Neurospora crassa OR74A: one gene and its partners. The protein of the gene in region 1 interacts with the protein of each later gene in a biochemical or structural test. Links are inferred from orthologs where the notes say so. Each region holds a gene or a part of one and is shown in the gene's direction. Other genes may lie near its edges.

Region 1 (4,185 bases):
ACGGAAGTAAGGGTGGGGTAGGGGTCGAAGAAGTTGAACTTGGAATGGCAGGCGGCAAAAAGCTGCTAGAGGGTTGAGAATCCTGGTTGAATCGCCGGCGAAGAGACCGGTCAGAGCCGGAGGACATCCTGGACCGAGCGAGCACCCTGGAGGCAGCCTGTTCGAGAGCTAGGTTGCGACTGATGCGGTCGTGGAATCTTTCTAGAGCCTCAAATCGTTCTCGGGATATCGCCGTGGGAGATCTCGGCGGAAGGGCATCGGGTTGGGCGTTATTTTGGCGAGATTCCGAATCCCAGGGCGACCTTAGAGGTCGACTGTCGGACTAGGGTACAAGAGAAGGATGAAAGTTAGTACTAAGGTGTAGTACTCGCAGGTAACAAGACACCAGAAAATGTGTTCCTGCAGCGAGGTGGTCTGGGTGTAAATCAGAAGCTTACAGCTTCGAACTGGGCTCATACGCCATATGTCGAGGCGCCAGTGCGTGTGGAAGGCGCAGAGAAGCGGCAGGTTTGATAACGCGGCGATATGTTAGGTTTGGATGGGGGCCGTGGAAGCGCATATCAGAAAGGGCAACTTACCATGAAGCTTGAGGGCACAAAGACCAGGGGGGGGAGGCGCAAGCGGGGAGGTAAAAGGAATAGAACCCGGCTGGGACAAGACAGACCAGCGTGCGAAAGATAGGAGTGGCACAATAGCGCTTGAAAAAAGAGATGGTTCAAGTAAACAAAATGTGCAGAAAAAGAAGGCGAAAGTCAAGGGTCAAATGTCAAATGTCAAAATGATCACGGAGGAAAGAGTGTTGAAAGTGGAAAGGATTGTAGAGTGGCCGATCATCTTGTAGTGTACACACTAGACCCGGCCGTTGCACGGGACACCCTGAGACGAGAGGAGGAGTCAACCACGGGCGGGCAGCTGGGCGAGCCAACACCATCCATATCCATATCCACCGAGAACCTAGGTACCTATTCTGGCATGGAGGGTAATAGGTACCTTGTCCTTCACTGACGTTGTGGGAGTGTAATTGTTAGCATATACTTGATGAGGCGCCATAGTGGCCATGATGTGCAAGTACCACTTTAACTGGCGTCATTTGGCATCGGGATCTACGATACGTATGGATGTTCACTGAGTGTAACCCCAAGTCCCCGTCCAAACCACAAAGTGCATTCCGTTCCCTTCTTCTTCTTCTCGTTGCAAAGTTACCTTGGTTGCTGGATTTCAAACTTGATAACGGGTGGCGTTTGTAGCATCTATTGGATCCTTAGCGAAATCATTCCAAAAGATCCAAGAAGCGCGAGTGTTTGCCGTTGTCCGATCTTACGTATTACTCAGTTTGTTAATGGAGATAGTCAAGTAAAACCGCCGAAATGCACAGGCCTCTTCCACCTACTTTTGCACCACGCGTCTCAATCTCAACACCAACCACCATCCTCAACTTGAGATCGAACGGCCAATAGTACGGCATGCGCACTGATATCACTGGTCTCAAAAAAAAACCTTGAACCCAATTCTAACTATTTTGCTGTCAGAATCTAGAAAAGGCAACTCTTCGCCAAGTTTCCAAGTTTAGTTCTCGGTCTAGGAACCGAATCGTTCGCTTGCCCGCGTTCCTTCACCTCTCACCTCAACTTCACCACCTACAACCACAAGCGCAAATATCACTTGGCGCAAATAACCAAAGGGGTCGTTTTTGTTCCTGGCCACAACAACCAAAGTGTCGTCCTTAAAGAGTCGTTGTCCATCATGACTACCACCGAGACTAACGGATCTGGTCAAGAGGCTTCCCATTCGGCTGCTGGCATCAGTGCAGGCAAGTGCTTAACCCTCCTTATGTCTGGAGATAGGTTACGAAACTAACCCCCTCAACAGATGAGATCGCCCTCTATGACCGGCAAATTCGACTCTGGGGCATGAAAGCCCAAGAAAAGATCCGCTCTGCCAACATCCTTCTCATCACCATGAAAGCCCTCGCCAACGAGATCGCCAAGAACCTCGTCCTGGCAGGTATCGGCTCCCTGACCATCAACGACCACGCCGTCGTCTCCGAAGCCGACCTGGGCGCGCAATTCTTCCTGTCCGCCGAGGACGGGCACCTCGGCCAGAACCGCGCCATTGCCGCCAGCGCCTCCCTCCAGCGTCTCAACCCGCGCGTTAAAGTCATTGTCGACACGGACGACATCCGGACCAAGCATTCGTCCTTCTACTCGTCGTTCGACATCATCATCGCCACCGACCTCGACGCCGACACCCTCAACGTCATCAACACCGCCACCCGCATCCACGGCCGCAAGTTCTACGCCGCCGGCTCGCACGGTCTCTACGGCTTCCTCTTCGCCGACCTGATCGAGCACGACTTTATTATCGAGCGCCAGCGCTCCAACCTCTCCACCACCTTGGGTCCAGAGACCAAAACCCGCTCCATCGTCTCCGTCGCGCCCAAAGAACCCGACAACAAGGACTCCGACATCGAGCTCGTCACCAAACGCGAACTCTACTCCACCTGGCTCCTCGCCTCCTCCGACGCCTCCCTCCTCCCCCAAGACATCCTCTCCTCCCCGCGCCGCAAACGCGCCGTCACCCCTATCCTCAGCTGTCTGCGTGCCCTCTGGCAGTTCACCTCCACTTTCGGCGTCCCGCCCACCGGGCCCGAACTCTTGACCAACCACACCGCTCTCGCGGCCTTTACGCAAATGTGCAGCGACAAGCACAAAGCCCTCGGCCTGCCCGCGGAGACGTTGCGGGCCGAGTTGTTGCGATCGTTCCTGCAGAACGTGGGCGCCGAGCTGGCTCCCGTGGCGGCGGTGTTGGGCGGGCAGCTGGCGCAGGACGTGATCAACGTTCTGGGACAGACGCAGCAGCCGATTCAGAACTTTGTGGTGTTTAGTGGGGAGAGCATGGAGGCGAATGTGTATGCGTTGCATCCCCGCGAGGGAGAGCTCGGCAGAGGACTGTTGCCGGTGACGATGGGGGTGATTGAAGCTGCGGCGGAGGTGTTGGAGAAGGAAGGACAGACGACGGATTTGATGGGGTTGGGTGGACAGCATCTCGGGGGCGGCCAGCAGCAGCAGCAGCAGCAGCAGCAGCCTTCGTCTCAGATGGAGGGTGTCGAGCAACAGCAGCAGCAACAGCAGCAGCAACAGCAGCAGCAGCAGCACGCTAATGGTGTATCAACTGAACAATTCACGGGCGCTGGACAGCAGCAAGAGCAGCAAGGCTCTGGTGCCGGTAACGCCTGACTTTCTCTTCACTTATCAAGTCGATTAGGTATTCGCATTACTGGCTCACTCCCCCCCCCCCCCCCCCCTTTTTTTTTTGTGGCTTGGCTTGGATCCTATCTGGGGTGTGCTTGGGAATCTAGAACGATGCGATGCAGGGCGTTCGTGTGGTAAACTGTAATTCAATGGCTTGCGGACAAACGAGAGAATACATGTATGATGAATGTAGCAACAACTTTTTAGACAGACAGACAGACTCATGTTTTCTGTGGATGAAGGGTCACATATCTGGCTGGTTAGGATGACTAGTAGCTAGACTGGCGAAAATATGAACTTGGGTGTTTAAAAAATGAAGCCACTCTGCTTTGTTCCTGCTGAAAGTAACGTGTGGCAATATTCACTCATGAGAACGTTATGGCAGTTGGAGGAGTTCTGTGAGAGAGGGTGTGTACAAGATCACCACAATGTCATGTAATCAATCCATTTATACATATCTCAATGTATGATGTATCTGAAAGCAACTAGTAATTCTCAAATTTGTATTCCCTGGTTCTTGATCAAAACCTCAATAATGCTTTTATGCTTCCGAACTCCTGTCTTGTAGCAACCGAAAAAAAAGAAAACCAGAACCAAAACCAAAAGGTCAAATCAAAGACAACAACTCCATCCTATCCAGCGCAATGTTGGTATATACGCTCCCCACGGTTGTTTCCTTCCTTCCTCCCTTCCGCTCTTTCTTTTGTTATGCGTGAAGCAATGCAAACTAAAAAAAAAAAAAAAAAAAAAATGCAATCTGTTATGTCGTAGTTTTGGTATTTGGTATATCCAGATGCACCTTTGTCATGGCTCTTTTGGCCTATGGCTTTATTTTGATGAAGATTCTTCTTGCTCTTCTTTCCATCTCCAAGATGGATTCTGTGTGGTGTAGCCAACCAGCCAAGCAAACCAAGATTGATTCCAACATCCCTCT
Region 2 (4,184 bases), on another chromosome or scaffold:
AAGACGGTGCGGAGGACGTCCGGGGTGAATTTTTCGTCATTGATCCAGAATGCGGGATCGGTGATGGGGATTCCTGGACGAGAAGATTCAAAAAACAAGTGTCAATGAAGGGTTCCTTTGTATTTCTTTGCTTTGTTACATAACTATGATACAACTCCAACAGCATCTTCCTCAGTAGTAGCAAAAAAAAACTTCAAGAACAAGAAAGACCACAAACCTTCCTCTAACCCCCGCTGCAACGCCGCCACCAAACTCCAGTACCCCGTCCACCTCTTTCCTCTGTACTCCACCTGGAACCGGTCTTCCTCGCTCTTCTCGCTCCAAAACGAAAAGTTGAGCAGATCCATGGTGAAGATGAACTTGACCGTCTCCTCGTTCTTCTCCTTGGGGTGGAGCGCGTGCGTCGACCAAGTGGCGGGCGAGTACTCCCGCTGCTGCATCTGGTCCCAGATGGTGTTGGCGGCCTTTTTGCACCCGCGCATGTCTAGGGCCACGTCAATGGCGTGGTTGTAGACGAACTCGGCAGACTCCAAAACGCCCGTCTCGGCGGCGGTGTGGGAGGACTGGTTGCCGTTGAGGTGTTGACGCAGGAGCTCGAGGAGCTCGGGGTCGGGTTGGTCTTCGTCGGAGGAGTATGACATTTTTCGATTCACGGGGGTGGTGGTGGTGTGGATGGGACGAGAGAGAGAAATGGGTGAAGGGAGGTGAGGAAATAATAGAGGGACTGAAAGGAAACGAGTGATGTGTTGGGATTTTGAAGAAAAGGGTTGAAGAGGAGGTCTGAGGAAGGGGGTCAGGGCGGAGGGAGTGGGAAAACGGAAAGGTTGCATTTTGAGAGTTTGGTTGGCACTGACACTGACTGTCGAGGGGGCAAGGTTAACCCTGAGATGGGTTGACTGATTTCTAGAATACGATATCCTAAGCTCGAGGGGAAAACAAACGGTCAATTTTACGGTGAGAGATATGATATCCTCGATATCGTCTTGCTCACCCTACTGTGTCGTTTTTCCATTCTCTCCAACCATTCAGAATCAGACCAGCCAATCTTTCATTGTCTGCATGATGTTCCTCTGTTGACTTGTTCAGGGTTATGTATGGGTGGACCCCCCCACCGCAACACAAAAACACAAAGTGGTTGCAGCTTGCAGCAGGGCGACCAATAAGACGCGGCACTTGCGTTGCCGTGTGCCTGCCGGTCGAAGGATCGTCTATGGCCAACCCCGGAATCGGTTTTAGCGTGTCGCTGGAGTTATGACGCGCTACCACCCAGCAAGTGCTGAAGTCTTGACCTGGAAGGAACTCCGGTCTGCCTGTCGCCGATTCAGCGCCTGGTGGTTGCAACTTTTGACTGCCTTCAGTTTGCATCCACGAGGCTGAACTTTTTCAATTTCCGCTTCAATTTTCTTCACCTCTTTCTGCCCTGGGCTTCATCTTGTCCTGGGTATACAGTGACCGCCCGCTCAACGTGAAATAATACTACCCCCCGAACCACCTTCAAGCCTGGTCGCACCTCTTGCTCCTCGGGCGCAAGCCTCCTCAAAATCTCGCCATGGATCCCGCAATGGGCAATCCCATGGTCCCCATGACGGCGCAAATACCAGCACCAGTTGCCCAGCCTATTCCCTTGCCGGTGTTGACGCGGGACAGCTACAATTCGCAATCATTAGGGCGGTCTTTGAATGCAAATGTCAAGCAGGTACGTGCCTTCATTCATCCCAAGTCGTCTCCTCGGCAACAAATGAAGGCCTCCCAATGCTGTCGCAATCCCCGTCGCAACTGGCATCGCTCGGATTGCTATAGAACTTCATTACGAACGCCCCTCCAATTCCAAATCTACGCTTCCTTCCTGCCTTCGTCGCGCCACAACCACCATCATGACTTCCCAGTTGACTGCCGAAGCGGTTCTCGCGCTAGCTCCCGCAGAAACCCCCGAGACTCTGCTAACGACCACCTCACAGGCGCGCGTGCTCATGGTAGGCGCCGGCGGCATCGGCTGCGAACTCCTCAAGAACCTCGTCCTTACCGGCTTCGGTGAAGTCCACGTCGTCGATCTCGACACCATCGATCTCTCCAACCTCAACCGCCAGTTTCTCTTTCGTCACGAACATATCAAAAAATCAAAGGCACTTGTAGCCAAGGAGGCTGCGCAAAAGTTCAACCCCGCCGTTAAGATTGTCGCCCACCATGCGAACATCAAAGATGCGCAGTTCAATATCGAGTGGTTCAGCAGTTTCCGGATAGTCTTCAACGCGCTCGACAACCTCGAAGCCCGTCGCCATGTCAACAAGATGTGTCTTGCCGCCGACGTCCCCCTCATCGAAAGTGGAACAACCGGCTTCAACGGCCAGGTACAAGTCATCAAAAAGGGTGTCACAGCCTGCTACGATTGCGCGCCCAAGGAGACGCCAAAGTCATTCCCCGTATGCACGATTCGCAGTACACCGAGCCAGCCTATTCACTGTATAGTGTGGGGCAAGAGCTACTTGCTCAACGAGATTTTCGGAGCGAGCGAAGACGAGTCAGCATTCGATCATACTGTTGATGGTGATAATGCGCAGGAGATCGAGGAGCTCAAACGCGAGTCGGCGGCGCTACGAAAGATCAGGAATTCTGTGGGTACAGAAGAGTTCGCGCAGATGCTTTTCGAAAAGGTATTCAAGACGGATATCGAGCGGTTGCGCTCAATGGAGGACATGTGGAAGACGCGCAAGCCGCCTGAGCCACTCAACTACAAGGAACTCCTCGATAAGGCCAAGTCGCTCGACAAGGACAAGGTTTTGAAGGATGCTCAGAAGGTGTGGTCGCTGGAAGAGAACCTCGTCGTCTTCAATGACAGTCTCGAGCGACTTAGCAAGAGGGTTCTGGAGAACAAGAGCGCCGGTGAAGAATCCATCATCACCTTTGACAAGGACGATGAGGATACCCTGGACTTTGTCGCCGCGAGTGCCAACATTCGCTCAGCGGTGTTCGGTATTGACAGAAAGTCAAAGTTCGACATTAAGCAGATGGCTGGCAACATTATCCCTGCCATTGCGACAACGAACGCCATCGTCGCCGGTCTTTGCGTGCTGGAGGCATTCAAGGTCCTGAAGGGCCACTACGAGCAGGCCAAGGAGGTTTTCCTTACGCCGTTTGCTAATGCACGTATGTTGGCGTCCGACAAGTCACGGGAGCCTAACCCTGATTGCCCGGTCTGCGGTGTTTACCAGACGAGAGCGTATGTCGATTTGGAGAAGGCGACGTTGAACGATTTGGTAGAACACTTGATCAAGACGAATCTGGGGTATGGCGAGAAGGATTTCGCTATTAGTAACGAGGTTGGCATTCTGTACGACCCGGATGAGACGGATAATCTGGAGAAGAAGCTTTCGGAGCTGGGTATGTTTTGCTACTCAGATTACAGTGGAAGCTGCTACCCATATCGCAATGGAAATTGCTAACATCGTACAGGCATCAAATCCGATTCATTCCTGACCATCACCGACGAAGACGATGAGGAACCTTTCGTTAACGTCGTCGTTGCCATCCAAGAAGCGTACGTCCCCATTTTCTCTCCCATGTTCGTAACTAACACCCTCAAAGCAAGGAGCCTCTGGGTGACAAGCCAGTCAAGGGCATTCTCGACCCAGAGGACGTCAAGATCCCACTCAAGCCCAAGAAGCAGTCACAGCCTGAGCCAGTGGCTACGCCGACAGCTGCCACCAACGGTGCCAGCATATCCAACGGCCAGAACGGAGGAGTAATAAACCTTGATGGCGATGAGCCAATGACGACACCAGCCAAGTCGCTCAAGCGCGGCCACCCCGAAGACGCAGAGGGTCCATCGGTCAAGAAGATCAAGGCCAACGACAAGGCGGCGGATGACGATATCGTCTTTATCGAGGATAGTGCGGGAGCTATCGTGATTGATGATGACTGATCTTCCATCACCCCTTTGCCGTGTCTTGTGCGCGGTTCATTATTGCTACCGTAGGCCGTAGTTATGGTCGGTATATACTATGATTACCACATGGCTTGCTTGCTATTCTTGCTATACCTACTAGCCACAGATACCCACGGGAAGCGGTGTGTCGTTTCAGACAGCACTTAACCCTCCATCAAGATTAAGTACGCAGTTGTTTGCATACGGGTTCTTGATAAGGAACAGGGCAGCGTCGGCGACTTCATCTGTTGTTCCGAAGCGG
Region 3 (3,450 bases), on another chromosome or scaffold:
TGCGGCAGCGGCCGTGGCCTGCTCGCCAGATGTCTGCATGCGCTCCATGGTCCGTCGGATGGTCTCTTGAAAGGAAGCTTCGGCATTCTTGCTCGATGGTGAGGCCGCGGCCGAGGCTCTGCGGGAAGAAGACGGAGGAGTCTTGGTCGAAGTCTCGGCCTTTGGGGTGGGAATACCAGGTGTTTCGGCACCCGAGGCAGCGGCGGCGGCGCCTAGCTCCTTGAATATGCTCTCGAACTGGGCTTGTAGCTCAGGCTGGCTCAGAGTTAGCTAGAGCCGCAGAAATTGGGATATTGCGATTGTTTGCGCCTACCGAGTTCTCGATGTCACCGAGGAGATCAGCCATGCCGGCCTGCAGCTGCTTCGCAAACTCCTCTTCGGACAGGACATCATCTTCCCCCTTGGCACCATCTGCCCCAGCGGCGTCTGGCCTTGCTGGCCCCGAAGGCTTCTTGGCTTGAAGGTCTACTGCGGCGAACTCATCGAGCATGTCATCCAGGTCATCCAGGTCATCCTCATCCGGGTCGGACACGTCATCGTCGAACTCGTCGGCCACGGTGGCCTTCCTGGGCACCTCCTCCTTTGCGCCGGCGTTATTCGAAGCCATTGTGCGGTATGAGTGTGTAAGAATGTTGTGTAAATCGCAAAGACGTCGATCGGTCGTGGATGCGCCTCGTTCCGACAGACGAAGCAGATGCTCGGGCAAAAGGTTGACCCCACGCTGAAGCACGACCTCTTTGAGAGAGGTAAAAGCGGGAAGTTGTCTGTTTGAGGTAGAAACCAAGCTAATGCAAGGCGGAGTGGTCTATCAAGAGAGTATACAAAATCTCTCTGGGATAGGCAAATCCAGAATTGTATAGCGAACCAAAACCTTCAAAGAAAGGGTGATCAGTGGAAGAAAACATGGAAGGGAGAGAAGTCAGATGGAGATTGACATCCAGAAGGGTTCAGATGACGAGGGGGTTTTCCTTTGCATGTGCAATTCGGCTCACTCCTCATGGCGCTTTCCCGCATCTCTGCTTGAACAGGGCGGTTACCCCACCATTGCCCACCGGGGTACGCTGTGTGCCGAGGGACACCACCTCCAGCTTCAGACAATATTCCTTGATCAGGTTGCTTGAGCACTTAAAGTCCATACTAACAGGCATCTCGCTGTCATCCCATCTTCTGATGCTAGTGTGACTGCGGATCAAGCTCATTTTGGAGCCTACACGCTGTCACTGAAATGGGCCATTTACTGTATGTGAAATGCCGTTGACAAGCTTCGGAGTACAAGTTAAGCAGAGGAGAGCTTCCATGCCATTCACTTCACCCACTCTCCGCCTTCCTGATTCGAGGCGACAGGAACTCCGAGCCCGGCAGGCAATAACTGAATGAGCGTGTCGCCTGCCATTCGATTTGCTGTCACTTCGTTGCAAACTGAAACTTCCCTCCAGCCTCGTTAGGATTCGAAGTCTACCACATCAGTCACAGTCGGTTCCCTTCCCAGGAAACACTTCGTTACATAGTTCCATTCGGATTGCGCATCATTCCCCGCATATACTCCAGATATTCGAACCCTCATCTTTTCTTTTTTGGCCTTACAAACCCCAAATCACCTTCACCTCTCACCTTGCGGGGCTACTACGCAGTACATACTCCACGCTGCTACATATCGCGTGGCCCATAGGATTGGATCTCTTACCTGCAGAGGACCTTCCCACACTCCACCTTCTGATCCGCGCCCATCCCCCCCGTGACCAACCCGAGCAGCTCTTCAGCCGCATCCCCACGTTTCTCGGCGCCGTCATTGCATTAGCAAGAAGCCGGCCGTCGAAGTTGAATCGTCGTCGCATTCAGTTTGTCCAAGGGATCACTCGAATCCCACGTTGATCAGCCACCGCTCAACTTTTACCGACGCCAAACCCCGTCAACGTCAACCTCGTCAACCACCATGGCGCTGTGCCAGAACCGCTTGCAAGAGGAACGGTACGCCGCAAAGCATTGCGCAACAGTGTACCTACGTCCAGCAGACTGACAATCTTATTCTCTCCCTCTAGGAAGCAGTGGCGAAAGGACCATCCCTTTGGCTTCTATGCCCGTCCCCAGAAGAACCAGCAGGGTGTGCTCGACTTGAAGATTTGGGAATGTGGTATTCCGGGCAAAGAAAAGACAATCTGGGAGGGTGGTCTGTTCAAGTTGACCGTCACGTTCCCTGATGGTATGCGCCCTGCACCGGTCGGTGTCTTTAGTCAGAAGAATACACGTGCTGACTTGACGTTTCCTGCATGCAGAATATCCCACGAAACCCCCCAAGTGTACGCCGAAAGCTAGCCCTCGTCCATCCCCCCTTGCTACGATCACATGGCTAACATGTTGGCGTCTGAGCAGGCAAATTCGTCCCCCCTCTTTTCCACCCCAATGTCTACCCATCAGGCACGGTCTGTCTCTCGATCCTCAACGAAGAAGAGGCATGGAAGCCGGCCATCACGATGAAGCAGATCCTGCTCGGCATCCAGGACTTGCTCAATGACCCCAATCCCGAGTCCCCAGCCCAGGCTGAGGCGTACAATCTCTTCAAGAAAGATCGTCAGGAATATGAACGTCGGATCAAGCGCGTCGTGCGGGAGAATGCCGCCCCATAGATTGGGAACCCACGAATGTGAGGGTGCTTGGTGAAAAAGAGAGAGCAGTTCTGTTTTGCTGGACCTGGGACACGGAGTTTAGGGATACCAATTCATTGTTTGTGGCGGCATTTGGAGGGAGTTCATTCATTGATAGCGATCCTGCGCACGATTCAATTTTCGGGCTGCTCTATATACTCATGATCGAGGAACAAGAGTCTAAGAAAAATAAAAAAAATTACCGACGCTGCGCCCGATGCATCAGTCCGTTTCCCCCAACTTTTGTGCTCAATACTTGCTGTCTCGGACCTAGATCTCCCTTCTACCAAACTCACGGTCGAGTTCGGCCGGGGAGTAGTGGAATCAGTGGGATGAACCCTCAAGAGTCATCTTCAATCGCAGATGATTCGACCAAGGCGGGAGAGGTATGCGTTTCAAGAAAAGATAGCAAAAAGTTATTTCACGGGAAGTTCACGTCCGGAAAACCTAGAATATCGGGCACCCAGTTTACAGAGTCTCAGTCAGATACTCCGTACAGGATTTATCACTAGCTTTATCTGTGTCTTCAGTTTGTCAAGAAGTTTTTAACCTCACGGCAAGGTTGCAAGCCACGCTCCGCTTGCGGAGAAACCTGGGGTACCCGTCGTCCCCCCCCCCCCCCCCCGCCCCCCCCCTTCTCCCCACTTAAGGTTTGTAAGGGAGTTGGACTTTATGCCGTTGACACAATGACGTTGGAGAGCTGGAAGGACTTGTCAGCCTGTGCAGCTGGCACAAAATCTGCCGGCACACTGTGATGAAAATATTCACACTACTGCTCGTTTCTCTCCACTGTGTGGCCAGCTAACAT

What was found.
Region 2: the proteins of NCU09006 (region 1) and NCU03526 form a complex in vitro, tested with the Saccharomyces cerevisiae proteins (2 studies listed by BioGRID). The link is inferred for Neurospora crassa OR74A from reciprocal best matches to the Saccharomyces cerevisiae genes AOS1 and UBA2.
Region 3: of the proteins of NCU09006 (region 1) and NCU04302, one has a biochemical effect on the other in vitro, tested with the Saccharomyces cerevisiae proteins (3 studies listed by BioGRID, with this or other methods). The link is inferred for Neurospora crassa OR74A from reciprocal best matches to the Saccharomyces cerevisiae genes AOS1 and UBC9.

What each region holds. Positions count from the first base shown.
Region 1 is NC_026503.1:4,195,543-4,199,727, forward strand, and holds NCU09006 (NEDD8-activating enzyme E1 regulatory subunit), read left to right. Parts: upstream 1-1,372; 5' UTR 1,373-1,743; coding exon 1,744-1,810; intron 1,811-1,869; coding exon 1,870-3,236; 3' UTR 3,237-3,566; downstream 3,567-4,185. Other genes in the region: NCU09005 (hypothetical protein), read right to left, coding at 1-322, 579-581. UniProt on the Saccharomyces cerevisiae protein: Could be involved in a ubiquitin-related process important for DNA damage tolerance.
Region 2 is NC_026502.1:357,263-361,446, forward strand, and holds the start of NCU03526 (ubiquitin-activating enzyme E1 3), read left to right. Parts: upstream 1-1,278; 5' UTR 1,279-1,549; coding exon 1,550-1,696; intron 1,697-1,899; exon of another isoform or gene 1,900-1,958; coding exon 1,959-3,378; intron 3,379-3,450; coding exon 3,451-3,535; intron 3,536-3,582; coding exon 3,583-3,919; 3' UTR 3,920-4,075; coding exon of another isoform or gene 4,076-4,184. Other genes in the region: NCU03527 (hypothetical protein), read right to left, coding at 1-73, 218-830; oar1 (3-oxoacyl-[acyl-carrier-protein]-reductase), read right to left, coding at 4,076-4,184. UniProt on the Saccharomyces cerevisiae protein: The dimeric enzyme acts as a SMT3 E1 ligase. It mediates ATP-dependent activation of SMT3 and formation of a thioester with a conserved cysteine residue on AOS1.
Region 3 is NC_026505.1:5,554,723-5,558,172, forward strand, and holds NCU04302 (ubiquitin-conjugating enzyme E), read left to right. Parts: upstream 1-1,433; 5' UTR 1,434-1,933; coding exon 1,934-1,968; intron 1,969-2,039; coding exon 2,040-2,200; intron 2,201-2,273; coding exon 2,274-2,297; intron 2,298-2,370; coding exon 2,371-2,624; 3' UTR 2,625-2,875; downstream 2,876-3,450. Other genes in the region: pex19 (peroxin), read right to left, coding at 1-255, 314-607. UniProt on the Saccharomyces cerevisiae protein: E2 ubiquitin-like--protein ligase mediating SUMO/Smt3 attachment to septins and PCNA. Seems to be involved in degradation of S- (CLB5) and M-phase cyclins (CLB2).